Schizosaccharomyces pombe: one gene and its partner. Each later gene encodes a partner of the first gene's protein in a complex. Each region holds a gene or a part of one and is shown on either strand. Other genes may lie near its edges. A codon is read from its position in the direction of its gene.

Region 1 (6,627 bases):
GTATATATTCTTCTAGCACTTCTATAAACACCACAACTGCTGCACTAGCTACTTTATTGCCAATTAACTGATGGCCTAAATATCTGATTAGTTTGAAAGCAGAGGACTAGTGAGCGCTATAAACAAAATTATATTCTATATTTTATATTGGGTATTCCTATATTCGTTAGGTACTAAATACTGAGTTTTACTTCACCTTTTAGTCGATATCGTTGAGACTTTTACCAATAGCAACTATAATGAATTAGGGGTTTTTCGTGCTATAACATTACCGCTCAATTTCTTTCAAACCACCAAGCGTCAAATTAGAACTACCTACTAAGCATTCGAATATGCAATAAAATTTCACCTTTGCCATAACCATAAATTTTACTATTGTTGGATAAGTCTTATTATTGCTAAGTAATTGATTACCTTAAGTTCATTTATCAAATAACAAAGCTCTACGTTTCAAATTTCAAAAAAAAAAACTTAACCTACTCATTGAGTTGTTTCAAATAAAAAAAAAGCAATTGGATTCTCTTCTGTTGGAAAGCACCCTTCATACAGCAATATTGGTATTTAAGGCATTGAATTTAAATATATTACTATGGCATTTCGTGATTCAACTCGCGATTTCAACAGAAGTAGACCTGAAAAAAGGCATGCTTCGAGATCTTCTTCACCTCGTTCATTTCGACCTTCAAATCAAAATGCAAGAGCAAATTATAATTTAGTAAGTAGGAAAATGTTAGTTGTTTTTGAATTAACCTTCCCTTTAGCCGAGAGTGAGAGATGCTATGAAAGAGGAAGAGCGAAGTAGGGAAACGAAAGAAATGCAAGAACGGGAATTTTTGCGTTTACAGCAGCTTCGAAGAGCTATTATTCGACTTAAGAATGATCGTTCTAAGCCTATAGATAAACTTCTTGTCAGCGTTTACTTGATGCCAGGCCCAGAATGGGAAGAGAATGGAGAAAAAAATTCAATTGATTTTGGAACAGTTGACATGTTTGATCCACTCTCTGTTATTCAAGTAAGGGACTTATTTTATTTTTACTTTATAACAGATTAATCATTAACATACTTAGAGTTATAAAGCAGAAGATTTGGAGGAGATATCTAGAAATATTGGTGATATTCAGCAGCTGGAAACGAACCAATGTAGACTAACTTATTGGAAGGTATGGATTATTTTTTATGCTTTAAGTGCTAAATTATACATTATAGTACGTTAAAATGCTAGTGAATTCTCGAATGGAACATAACAAAGTTGGGCAATTTTCAAGAGGGTTAAAGGTCGTAGCAGGTGAAGTACAAAGGATTTTAGCCCCTAAATCTTTTGAACAATTAGAACAGCTTGAGGCACAAATTCAAAAAAAATTGAAGAGCAATGTCCCTCTCGATACAGATTATTGGGTTGATTTACTAAACTCTTTAAAATCTTACAAGGCCATTGCTTATTTAAAAAAGACTTTTAATGAAGAATTACAAATTCGAAAAAATAAACTTGATAATGAAGAATGGGACAAAGCTTTTTCCGATGCCAAAAAACTGTCAAATATGAAGGATCGTGAAGAGAAGTTATATATTGTCCCTATAGACCCGAAGCCCATTTTGAGGGCTCAAGCGATACCACGCAGGATACAACCTGAAGAACAAGCCGATTATGAAAAAGAATTGGTAAGATATTTGTGTTTTTCATAATATTAACTCTCTTCCAAATTACGATTTCCATCTTTTGTCCTAACCAAAATCTTTTCTAGAATGATCATGTCAATATTGTAAAGTCTAGCACTTATATTCCAATATCGATACCTACCCAAAAACAAAAGCCAACTTTGCCGAAAAACAGTAATCTGATTAACGAGGATGAATTTTCAATTGCCAACAGGGCACGACTCGAAAGAGAATACTTACAATCCGATGATGCAGAGGAGCAAGAGATGCTTGGGGACTATGTAGAAGGGCAAACCCGTGTTGTTAACGAAAACGGGGTTACTTTGAAAAAGCCTCACTACTTTAATAGAGTTTTGCTTGGGTTTGAATGGAATTCTTATAATCAAGCACATTTCAATGAAGCCCACCCACCTCCCAAAGCAGTTCAAGGGTACCGTTTTAACGTTTTTTATCCAGATTTAATAGGTACAGGCCGTGCACCAACGTATCGAATAGAACGAACACGAAGGAAGAATAAAAGCGACACTACTGATTTACAAGACGATGTTTGCATTATACGTTTTATAGCTGGGGAACCATATCAGGATATTGCCTTCAGTATAGTAGATAAAGATTGGGATTACAGTGCAAAACGAGATCATGGGTTTAAAAGCAGTTTTGACAATGGTGTTTTATCCCTCCATTTTCGATTCAAAAAGCTTCATCATAGAAGGTAAAATAACTGATTTATCATGTTGTACATTTAATGAAATTTAAATTACTGTTACATGTGCAGCTAAACAACCTTAAAAGGCATCTACTAAACTACTTAAGTATTGCATAAATAAGTTTAATCGTAAAGAAACACGAAATCGATTAGTTCGTGATTGAAAAGCTAAACTAATTCAAGAAGAAGGGGGTGATAAATAGAAGGAAAAGGCATCATAGAAATTTGAAGTTCCCTGACATAAAAATATGCTTCGGATGTCCTCAAAAAGCATCTTTCTTCCCCTAATTTTGAAAGGTTAGAAAAAAATAGTATAAATCGAGTAATAACATACGAAAATGACTCTTCCAGAGGCATAAAGGGAATACAAACCAAGACCAGCCATAACAGCGTAGTAAGGATAAACAAGAGCAAAACTACCTGGTCTCTAAATATTAAACAATTAGGTTCTTTTTTCTCTTCATAATTAAAAACAAGTTTCGTTTAAAACTTACCTGCAAGTAAGTTGGTTTGTGGATGCTTTGGAGAAAGCGTTGTTGTTGAACAATAGTATTCTTCATTTTTTTCTTTTTTAATTAATAATTGTTTTAATAATTATAAAACGAACCAATAATCAAGTTAACAAGTTAAACTGTTAAAAAAATGAGGGTTAACGATAAAATGTAGGTAGGTGCGGAAAGGATTGATGGTTCCAATTAGTACATCTTGGTGCCAGAACACAGAGTCAACCTCATAAACTCACATATTTAAGTATATTAATAAGACGGTTAAGTGAAAGATATTCGTATTATTAAAAAAATGCTCCTTTATCGTTTTTGGTATGTATCATTTTAAATTAATCTTACTGAACGAGATTAACGCTAATAATATAAATTAATTGTTGTCAAATAATTTAAGGACGGAATCATTGTCAGATTGATTCTTCTTCAAAAACTAAAGCTATCTCCTTATAAGCTATTGGGGAATCTCTTTCAAACATGGTATAAATGCGTCCATGGCATACTCGGAGCAATAATAGTATAGCGATCAAAGTTAATAATGAAGATGCATTTGCTTGTACTTATATAAATTCTTATGGTTGTTGAGATAAGGGAACAATTTTATACTGAGTTACATATGTTCTATCCTTCATCAGTATTCTCTACAAACGCGAAAATTCCTTGTCCATTTAAGCAATTCGTATTACAAAGCTCTATGTTCATATTATACGAAGGACGTTGAAAGTTTTTAATTGATTCTGACAATGACTTACAGATAGAATATGATGGTTTGAGTTATTGAAAATGCTAAATCGTCTTTTCAAGTAATTGATGAACTAAAACAGTTTCTTATACATTATATTTCAGAAAGTACTTTAAAGATACTCTGCTTTCTTCCTTGTTTTTTTTTTTTTTTCTTTTTTTTTTTTTTTGGAATACTAATACCGAGAAAACTTTCGTCAAATTTTATGGGCCTAATAATAATCTTATGAAATTAAGGTGCACTTAACCGAGCTATACTTTAAAGATTACAATTATCACAACTGAACACAACATTATATTGTTGGGGTAAACCTTTAAATTTCATGCATTTGAAGAAAATTGATTGCATTAGCTTAAAATATAGCTCACTTAGTGACTGGATGATCATCATAATATTATGTCGAGTTTTGTTTATTAGTCTTCCACTGTGAGCTGTTCAAAACTAAGATTATTTAACGTATTTTCATTGGCATAGTGTTGGAGGAAGTTAAAAATAATAAGCAAAGTAACCTCTGGAAGGATAAAACTGTCTATAAAAATAGCAATTACGCTACAAAAGTTTATAGCTTTTACGGCTTTAATGCTATTCTCATTTACAGGTACTAAGACTCCTTTGGATGCTTAGTTACAGTGATAGGGCATAATTAGAATCTTCAATAAAATAGGGGTTTGAAAAACTAAACTACTTGTGAGAAAGAATTAAGCCTTACGTCTCTTTGAGTGAATTCCCTTTTCTGCTTTGTTAATCCATAATCTGCTGTATTTGACTTCAAAATACAACTTTAATTGATTTACTTTTAAAAAGTTGATTGATTGGTAAATTGAAAGTTTTTGCTGGACTTCTGCTTATTTTCACAACAATTATATTATAAAGGGTTAAGTGGTGTGCAATTGGTTTTTAAGAGTTTGAAGCAAGCTCCATGTTAATTCTAATTAAAATAAAATAGAGTGATTAATTTTAAATGGAACGGAGCAATGCTAAGCTAAATATTGAAGATTGGGTCTCGTTAAGAAAGGTTTGTGGTGCAATTTGTTTACAAGGCTTTAATGTGATAAACGGTTGACGAATGAATGAAACCAAATGGAAAACAACTTCCAAAATATTTAATAAATTTTTTAAAATTTGTTTCGCTACGATAGTCAATGAATTGACCCAATGCAGGAGAAATTTGTTGTTTCAGTAGCATTTCTGGATTTCGAGAAACAGATACATTTTAATTAATTTAATGTGTCGCCTTATTTTTTTAAACATGTAAATGACTTTTTTTCTTATGCATATTCTTTTTTTGAGAAGTTATCAATGTTTTAATTAAGTATGGTTGCTATGAGGCATGTAAACAAATGGCAACCAATTCATGTGGTAGGTGAGCAACTTGGTAATAGAAAAAAAAGTACGGTGCAAGGATATGGTAACAGTTGAGTAGCTTAAAATGTAAAAAACAACTTAAGTAACTTTTGTTTTGTTTTAATCCGTAGGATTTTATTCTCTCGGTTACTTAGCAGCCATCACATTAGTAACATACTTGTTACCTTTACCCACTGTACTTCTTATTTTCTCACCTTCTTTTCCTTGGTTCCATTTCTCGACCACTATCTCTTTCCCATTTTATCGCAAACTTATTTTTCAATACTACTTTGTGAACTACATTAAGCCTTTTGCTTTCGTTCTTCTTAGTAGTGCTTCTCTCTCTTCGGACATTGATCACTCGTTTTTTGGAAGTTCGATTTTGCGGGAAAGTTGAGATACACCATTTAATAAAGAGACTATTTGATTAATATTATAGTCAATTTTCGATCAATTCTGTGTTTTTTGTCCATTTCGCACCCACTTTTCCGTTGGTTTGTGAGACTATAGCTTTAAAAGTGAACATCTGTGTAACAGGAGTGATTGAAACTATCGTTTTTGGTTTTGATTATTTGTTTTTCTTTCCTTTCAATTTTGTTTTTTTGTGTTTAATTCGCACTTTTTGGAAGCTTCTGCTAGCTGTGTTCATCGCCCTTATCAGAAGCCTTAATCTTTTCGTTTGTTGGATTTAATTATTTATTTTGCTCGAACAATAGTAATCGTGGTATCCTGTCTCCTCTCTTTGACTAAAATCCAAAGCCATGCATTTTGCAGACATTCCTCTTAGCAAGCCATGTCTGAACAACCCCCCAACATATCCATGGTCATCCCCAATTTTATCCAGTATTGCTAATCCTTCACTATGTGATATTGTATCTTCTCCATCATCTGTTTCTTCCTTTGCTTCCTCGGATGATTTTGCATTCATGAACGCATATTGTCTGCCCATACAACAAAACCACCAATTTGGTAGTCCAGTTGCTGCTTCGCCAAACCAACAACCGCTCGTAGAAAGCCAAAATCGCCGGAATGTCACTTATGCTTCTTTAGTCATAGGAAAACTTGGAATTGCTCAACTCATTCGTCAACAAACTGATCCTCCTCAAATTATCCATAGAAAGCAAGACAAGGGCTTAATGGCAAGGGTCTTGTCTAGATCCAAGAAGCAAGAGGAGAGAGAGAATCACTCTTCTGATGCTCGTGATGCTATTAAATCTGCCCTTCGAAGGAGAATGCGCCGTCGTGAAGGCCGTGTTCAAAAGGCTTTAAGGCCCACCCCTAACTTAATTTGCTCAAAATGCAATACCACGTTCAACCATTCAACGGCTCTTATGATGCATGAAGCAACCTGCTTGAATCAAGTTCCCTTTAAGCTTTCGGACTTTTTTGTTGAGGACGTGATAGATGACTGGCTCTTTTAATATTTCCGTTCATACAAAGAAGCAGCTTTCGTATCTAGTAGCATTACGGATATGTAATAATTATCGCTTATTAATGACGCTGGTTATATAAAGCGTATTAAAATTTTGCTCAGTCGTTTTACTCTTGAGAGCTTCATCACTTCTTTTAGAGAAGTTATTTTGAGATCATAGTATAATTTACTACATCAATTAGGTAATCAAGAAATATAGTTTGAAATGATAGAAGACTGCTCTTATAACCTTGTTTTAGGAAACGA
Region 2 (7,214 bases), on another chromosome or scaffold:
GAGTGTGTTTAATGAAGAGGTTCTTATTTAATAAATTTTTTAATAGACATCCTTTTACAAGGGTAAAAAGCTGTTTTTCATCATCTTCACCATCAAAATTCTCTTTTACTCAATGGTTAGTAGGATTTACTGATGGTGATGGTTGTTTTAGTATTTCAAAACAAAAAATAAAAAATGGCAAAAATAAATGGTCTCTTACTTTTAAATTAACACAAAATCTTTATAATTATAGAATTTTATATTTTATTAAGAGAAATTTAGGTATTGGTTCACTTTATAAAGAATCTTCAACTAATACAGTAATATATAGATTAAGAAGAAGAGAGCATCTTAAAAAGATTATAGATATTTTTGATCAATTCCCTCTTTTAACTAAAAAATATTGGGATTATTATTTGTTTAAAAAAGCATTCTTAATTTTAGAGGACGCTAATCTAAATTCTTTTGAAAAAAATAGTAAACTAGAAGAGATCAGAATAGAGAAAAAGTCTTTAAAACAATATTCTCCAGTTAATTTAGAAAAATATTTAACAAAGTCTTGGTTAATTGGATTTATTGAAGCAGAAGGGAGCTTTTATTTACTACAAAAAAGCCCTGTAAGAATAATTCATGGGTTTGAGATTACTCAAAATTATGAACAACCCCTACTTGCTCAGATTTCAGAGTTCCTATTTAATTCTCAAATCTCACCAAAAATAAAATCAAAAAAAAATTCCTTAATTACAAATTATTCCTTATCAACTAGTTCAAAAGAAAGAATGTTATTTCTTTCATCTTATTTTGAAAATTGTTTTAAAGGAGTAAAATCATTAGAATTTAAAATTTGGTCTAGATCTTTACGTAAAAATTATAATTTTGAACAGCTTTTAAGAGCTAGAGATTTAATTAGAAAATTAAAAAATAAATATTCCCGAGGATCACAACATCCAAAGGATAAATAAAATAAGTTCAAGGTATAGTCCGATCAAGATTGAGAAATCTTGTTAACTAAAATGATATCCACCACTATCAAGTATCACTTCTCATAGTGGTCCAGCTATTGATCTAGCTATTTTAAGTTTACAATTAACTGGTATTTCATCAACATTAGGATCAGTAAATTTAATAGCGACAATGATTAATATGAGAGCTCCAGGATTAAGTTTATATCAAATGCCATTATTTGCATGGGCTATAATGATTACATCAATTCTATTACTGCTTACTTTACCAGTTTTAGCAGGTGGATTATTTATGTTATTCTCAGATAGAAATTTAAATACTTCATTCTATGCTCCTGAAGGTGGTGGTGACCCTGTACTTTACCAACATTTATTCTGGTTCTTTGGTCATCCAGAGGTCAATTTAATAGGCCTCTTAACGTTGCTATATGCTGGAACTACTTGAAAAATACTAGATAAGTGTTTTTGTTTTAAATACTCCAAGAAAAACACCAGATTAGTGTTTATTTTTATAGTAAAAATGTTAAAACAATTAAGTATATCAGCAGGTAACCTTTTGAATAAGGGAACCTCAGAGACTTTACGCAACGAAATCACAACAAAAAAAGTTTCTATTCATCTCCCTAAACACTTAAAACCAGCTAATGATTCTCAATTTGGTCACTATTTAGCAGGTTTAATTGATGGTGATGGTCATTTTAGTAGTAAACAACAATTAATTATTGCTTTTCACTCTTTAGATATACAATTAGCTTATTATATTAAAAAACAAATAGGTTATGGTATTGTACGTAAAATTAAAGATAAAAATGCTATTCTTTTTATAATAGCTAACTCTAAAGGAATTGAAAGAGTAATAACTTTAATTAATAATAAATTTAGAACTACTAGTAAATATAATCAGATTATTAATAATATATTTGCTCATCCTAGATTTAAAGAATTTAGTAAAACTATTACTTTAGGTTTAAATTCAAATAATAATTTAAATAATCATTGGCTAGCTGGATTCTCAGATGCTGATGCTAGTTTTCAGATTAAAATTTTAAATAGGGACAAAAAAATAGAAGTTCGATTGAACTATCAAATAGATCAAAAAAAAGAGTATCTTTTGAGTTTAATTAAAGATAATTTAGGTGGTAATATAGGCTATCGAAAAAGTCAAGATACTTATTATTATGGTTCTACTAGTTTTGGTTCAGCTAAAAAAGTTATTAATTATTTTGATAATTATCATTTGCTATCTTCTAAATATATTAGCTATTTAAAATGAAGAAAAGCTTATCTTATTATTCAAGAAAATAAACATTTAACAGAATCAGGACTTTCTCAAATAAAAAAACCTCATCCCTATCGGAAGAATATTAATTAGATTTGTTGAGATTTAAAATAAAGTCCTAACAAGGGTATAAAGCTTTTGAGTGTTAAAAAGAATAAATCACCTTTTGGGTGATTTTTTTTCATTAACCAAAATTTATTGTTATATTTTAATTATGCCAGCTTTCGGTGTTGTTAGTCACATTATTCCTAGTTTAGCTCATAAACCTATTTTCGGTAAAGAAGGTATGCTTTGGGCTATGTTAAGTATTGCTTTATTAGGATTAATGGTATGGTCTCATCACTTATTCACAGTTGGTTTAGATGTTGATACTAGAGCTTATTTCAGTGCTGCAACTATGGTTATTGCAATTCCAACAGGTATTAAAATCTTCAGTTGGTTAGCTACTTTAACAGGTGGTGCAATACAATGGTCAAGAGTACCTATGTTATATGCTATTGGTTTCTTAATCTTATTCACAATTGGTGGATTAACAGGTGTTATATTAAGTAATTCAGTATTAGATATCGCTTTCCATGATACTTATTTCGTTGTAGCTCACTTCCATTACGTTCTGTCAATGGGTGCATTATTTGGTCTTTGTGGTGCATACTACTATTGGAGTCCAAAAATGTTTGGATTAATGTACAATGAAACTCTAGCTTCAATCCAATTCTGGATTTTATTCATAGGTGTTAATATTGTATTCGGTCCTCAACATTTCTTAGGATTAAATGGTATGCCTAGAAGAATACCAGATTATCCAGATGCATTTGTGGGATGGAATTTTGTATCAAGTATTGGTTCAGTAATTTCTATTCTTTCATTATTCCTATTTATGTATGTTATGTATGATCAATTTACATCAAATAGAGTGGTTAAAACAAATCCTTATTTAATCCCTAGCTATTTTGATGATAATGTAATCTTCGTAAATGAAAAATTAGGGGTAGCTCAATCAATAGAATGGTTACTACATTCACCAGTACACGAACACGCATTTAATACATTACCTACAAAAAGTATTTAATTTAAAATCTTAACCCCCCTTTTATTTTATAAACTTTATTCCAATTTAAAAATTGGAGAGGGAGATTGAAGGATAATTTAGCTATCCTATTCAAAATTGTATCTTTATAATTTTTTTATTCCTTATATGTGAGAGAACACTATTGAGATAAACTAATTTAGCTTAAACATGAATCTTTCTACTAAATTTCAAGGACATCCTTATCATATTGTAAGTGCGTCACCTTGGCCATTTTTCTTATCTGTAGTATTATTCTTTAACTGTTTAGCAGCTACATTATATTTACATGGATACAAACATTCATCAGTATTCTTTGGAATCAGTTTCTTAGGTTTATTAGCAACTATGTATTTATGGTTTAGAGATATGTCAACTGAAGCTAATATTCATGGTGCACATACAAAAGCAGTAACAAAAGGATTAAAAATAGGATTTATGTTATTCCTAATTTCTGAAACTTTCTTATTTGCTTCTATTTTCTGGGCTTTCTTCCATAGTTCATTATCACCTACTTTTGAATTAGGTGCAGTATGGCCACCAGTAGGAATAGCAGATAAAACAATAGATCCATTAGAAGTCCCTCTATTAAATACAGTAATTTTATTAACTTCTGGTGCTAGTTTAACTTATGCTCATTATTCATTAATTGCTAGAAATAGAGAAAATGCTTTAAAAGGTTTATATATGACTATCGCTTTATCATTCTTATTCTTAGGAGGTCAAGCTTATGAATACTGGAATGCTCCATTCACTATTTCAGATTCTGTTTATGGTGCTAGTTTCTATTTTGCTACTGGTCTTCATGGTATTCATATTATTGTTGGTACAATTCTACTTCTTGTTGCTACTTATAATATTTATACTTACCACTTAACTAATACTCATCATAATGGATTTGAATGTGGTATTTATTATTGGCATTTCTGTGATGTTGTTTGGTTATTCCTTTATTTAACTATTTATATTTGGGGTAGCTAAGGCTTACTTCAATTTTTCCCCCCTTTTTATATCTTATTTCTCTAAAATAGTCTGTATAGCTCAATGGTAGAGCATCTCACTTCTAATGAGTCGATCTAAGTTCGATTCTTAGTACAGATTCCACACCTAGAAGGTGTGTATTTTTTTTTTAGCTAATTTAACTCAATTGGTAGAGTGCGTACCTTGTAAGTACGAAGTTAGAGGTTCAATTCCTCTAATTAGCAATCCCTTTCCCATATTTTTGGTATAAGAGGATCTCAGATAGTATCTAACCTATCTTATCTTTTATTATCCAATATCCTTTTAATAAGATTTGGATCTTTTTTCCCAATTCCTTCAAATTTTTGACTATTTATCGATAATGATTGTTCAATTTAGAAGGGATAATTTCAAATTTAATTTTTATGAAAATTTTAAAATCTAATCCTTTTTTAGCTTTGGCTAATAATTATATGATTGATGCTCCTGAACCTTCAAATATTTCATACTTCTGGAATTTTGGTTCTCTTTTAGCTTGTGTATTAGTTATTCAAATTGTAACTGGTATACTTTTAGCTTGTTTTTATATTCCTAATATGGATTTAGCTTTCCTTTCAGTTGAAAGAATTGTTAGAGATGTAAATTATGGTTTCTTATTAAGAGCTTTCCATGCAAATGGTGCTAGTTTCTTCTTTATCTTCTTATACTTACACATAGGTAGAGGTTTATATTATGGTTCTTATAAATATCCAAGAACAATGACATGGAATATTGGTGTTATTATCTTCTTATTAACTATTATTACTGCCTTTTTAGGTTACTGTTTACCAGCTAATCAAATGTCATTCTGGGGTGCAACTGTTATTACTAATTTATTATCAGCTGTTCCTTTCATTGGTGATGATTTAGTTCATCTATTATGGGGTGGATTTAGTGTATCTAATCCTACTTTAAATAGATTCTTCTCACTTCACTATTTAATGCCTTTTGTTATTGCTGCTTTATCAGTAATGCATTTAATTGCTCTACATACTAATGGTTCATCAAATCCATTAGGTGTAACAGCTAATATGGACAGAATCCCAATGAACCCGTATTATCTGATAAAATTGCGCCGTTGTGGTATATATGTGTACCCTCATAGAGAAAGGGATATCTTGTGTGTAAAGATATGAACAATACACTTAGGTAGCTGGGGAAACCCAATGCCGAACAGAGCATGTGTACAGAAGGTCCTTCCTGTAACGAAACAGATAAGTTCAGATGGATCAGTTCAAATAGATACGGTTAGAGCTGTATTGCCCGAATTCCAATTCCCATCTCACCCTCAGATAGGTGATTGTCTTAGCTGAATAGAGACATTCTTCTCTAGATCTTTGGTTGGCTTTTATGACCAAGGATACACACCAGGAGAAGAGAGTTGTACCAATAGTACAATTAAGGGAATGAGTGGAAAACCTACGTCTATCAACTCAAACATATATACAACTACGGGTCCCGCTAAGGTCAGTAATGACTATGCGGTCAGAGATCCTGGAGTAGCTGTTGATCATTTTGATCAATACGGTCCTTTGAAAGAGGGAAGAAGTTTGAACTCTGCAAAGATTTCAACACAGTGAAGTGGATCAGCTACATTAAAGTCTTCCAATAGATCAATATTTAATATTGGTTTAGGATACATTAATACTTTTTTAGGGGTATCTAATGTAAGAGGATTTAGTACAGGATCAGGACGATCAAAAAATGTACTAAATAAACTAGACGATTTATCTAAACGATCAAAAAATTATCCTAATCTTGTAATTGATAGAAATCTCTACAAAGATTTCCTATTAAATCGAGATATGTTCCTTATTGCTTATAATAAATTAAAATCTAATCCTGGTATGATGACTCCTGGTCTTAAACCGGATACTTTAGATGGAATGTCTATAGATGTTATTGATAAAATTATCCAAAGCCTTAAATCTGAAGAATTTAACTTCACTCCTGGTAGACGTATCTTAATTGATAAAGCCAGTGGTGGAAAAAGACCATTAACAATTGGTAGTCCTCGAGACAAATTAGTTCAAGAAATTCTTAGAATAGTCCTTGAGGCTATCTATGAACCATTATTTAATACTGCTTCTCATGGATTTAGACCAGGTCGAAGTTGTCATTCTGCTCTTAGATCTATTTTCACTAATTTTAAAGGTTGTACTTGGTGGATTGAAGGAGATATTAAAGCTTGTTTTGATTCTATCCCTCATGATAAATTAATTGCTCTATTATCTTCTAAAATTAAAGATCAACGATTTATTCAATTAATTCGTAAAGCTTTAAATGCTGGATATCTAACTGAAAATAGATATAAATACGATATTGTTGGAACTCCTCAAGGTTCTATAGTTAGTCCTATCTTAGCAAATATCTACCTTCATCAATTGGATGAATTTATTGAAAACCTAAAATCAGAATTTGATTACAAAGGTCCAATAGCTCGTAAAAGAACTTCTGAATCTAGACATCTTCATTATCTAATGGCAAAAGCCAAAAGAGAAAATGCTGATTCAAAAACAATTAGAAAAATAGCGATTGAAATGCGTAATGTTCCTAATAAGATACATGGTATTCAATCTAATAAACTAATGTATGTTCGATACGCTGATGATTGGATAGTTGCAGTTAATGGAAGTTATACTCAAACTAAAGAGATTTTAGCTAAAATTACCTGTTTCTGTTCATCAATTGGACTAACAGTATCTCCAACTAAGACTAAAATAACTAATTCATATACGGATAAAATACTTTTCCTTGGTACTAATATTAGCCATTCTAAAAATGTTACCTTTAGTAGACATTTTGGTATACTTCAAAGAAATTCTGGGTTTATTTTACTTTCTGCTCCTATGGATCGAATTGCAAAAAAACTTAGAGAAACTGGACTTATGCTTAATCATAAAGGTAGATCTGTTATTAGATGGTTACC

Evidence for each region. The genes of interacting proteins can lie anywhere in the genome.
Region 2: the proteins of cox7 (region 1) and cox3 are in contact, whole or in part, in a cryo-EM structure (PDB 8C8Q), measured with the Schizosaccharomyces pombe proteins. Residues at the interface, in NP_001343154.1 of Schizosaccharomyces pombe: Lys2 (codon at 2,920), Asn3 (codon at 2,917), Ile5 (codon at 2,911), Gln8 (codon at 2,902), Gln9 (codon at 2,899), Leu12 (codon at 2,890), Gln13 (codon at 2,887), Pro18 (codon at 2,872), Thr19 (codon at 2,869), Tyr20 (codon at 2,866), Gln22 (codon at 2,860), Arg23 (codon at 2,790), Ser26 (codon at 2,781), Leu29 (codon at 2,772), Val30 (codon at 2,769), Tyr33 (codon at 2,760), Tyr34 (codon at 2,757), Met37 (codon at 2,748), Leu40 (codon at 2,739), Gly41 (codon at 2,736), Tyr43 (codon at 2,730), Ser44 (codon at 2,727), Ala47 (codon at 2,718), Ser48 (codon at 2,715), Arg50 (codon at 2,709), Val51 (codon at 2,706), Lys55 (codon at 2,644), Lys56 (codon at 2,641), Asp57 (codon at 2,638); in YP_011104931.1 of Schizosaccharomyces pombe: Ser16 (codon at 3,503), Ala17 (codon at 3,506), Ser18 (codon at 3,509), Pro19 (codon at 3,512), Trp20 (codon at 3,515), Phe23 (codon at 3,524), Val26 (codon at 3,533), Val27 (codon at 3,536), Phe29 (codon at 3,542), Phe30 (codon at 3,545), Leu33 (codon at 3,554), Leu37 (codon at 3,566), Gly41 (codon at 3,578), Tyr42 (codon at 3,581), Lys43 (codon at 3,584), His44 (codon at 3,587), Phe48 (codon at 3,599), Ile51 (codon at 3,608), Ser52 (codon at 3,611), Gly55 (codon at 3,620), Thr59 (codon at 3,632), Leu62 (codon at 3,641), Arg65 (codon at 3,650), Asp66 (codon at 3,653), Thr69 (codon at 3,662), Glu70 (codon at 3,665), Asn72 (codon at 3,671), Ile73 (codon at 3,674), His74 (codon at 3,677), Tyr231 (codon at 4,148).

What each region holds. Positions count from the first base shown.
Region 1 is NC_003423.3:1,712,514-1,719,140, forward strand, and holds cox7 (cytochrome c oxidase subunit VII Cox7), read right to left. Parts: upstream 3,032-6,627; 5' UTR 2,970-3,031; intron 2,930-2,969; 5' UTR 2,924-2,929; coding exon 2,858-2,923; exon of another isoform or gene 2,791-2,857; coding exon 2,698-2,790; exon of another isoform or gene 2,676-2,697; intron 2,648-2,675; coding exon 2,627-2,647; downstream 1-2,626. Other genes in the region: cay1 (cactin), read left to right, coding at 590-715, 762-1,013, 1,069-1,161, 1,208-1,660, 1,744-2,373; transcriptional activator MBF subunit Rep2, read left to right, coding at 5,711-6,370.
Region 2 is NC_088682.1:5,504-12,717, forward strand, and holds cox3 (cytochrome oxidase subunit 3), read left to right. Parts: upstream 1-3,457; coding exon 3,458-4,267; downstream 4,268-7,214. Other genes in the region: cox1 (cytochrome oxidase subunit 1), read left to right, coding at 996-1,340, 2,422-3,289; cob (apocytochrome b), read left to right, coding at 4,672-5,355.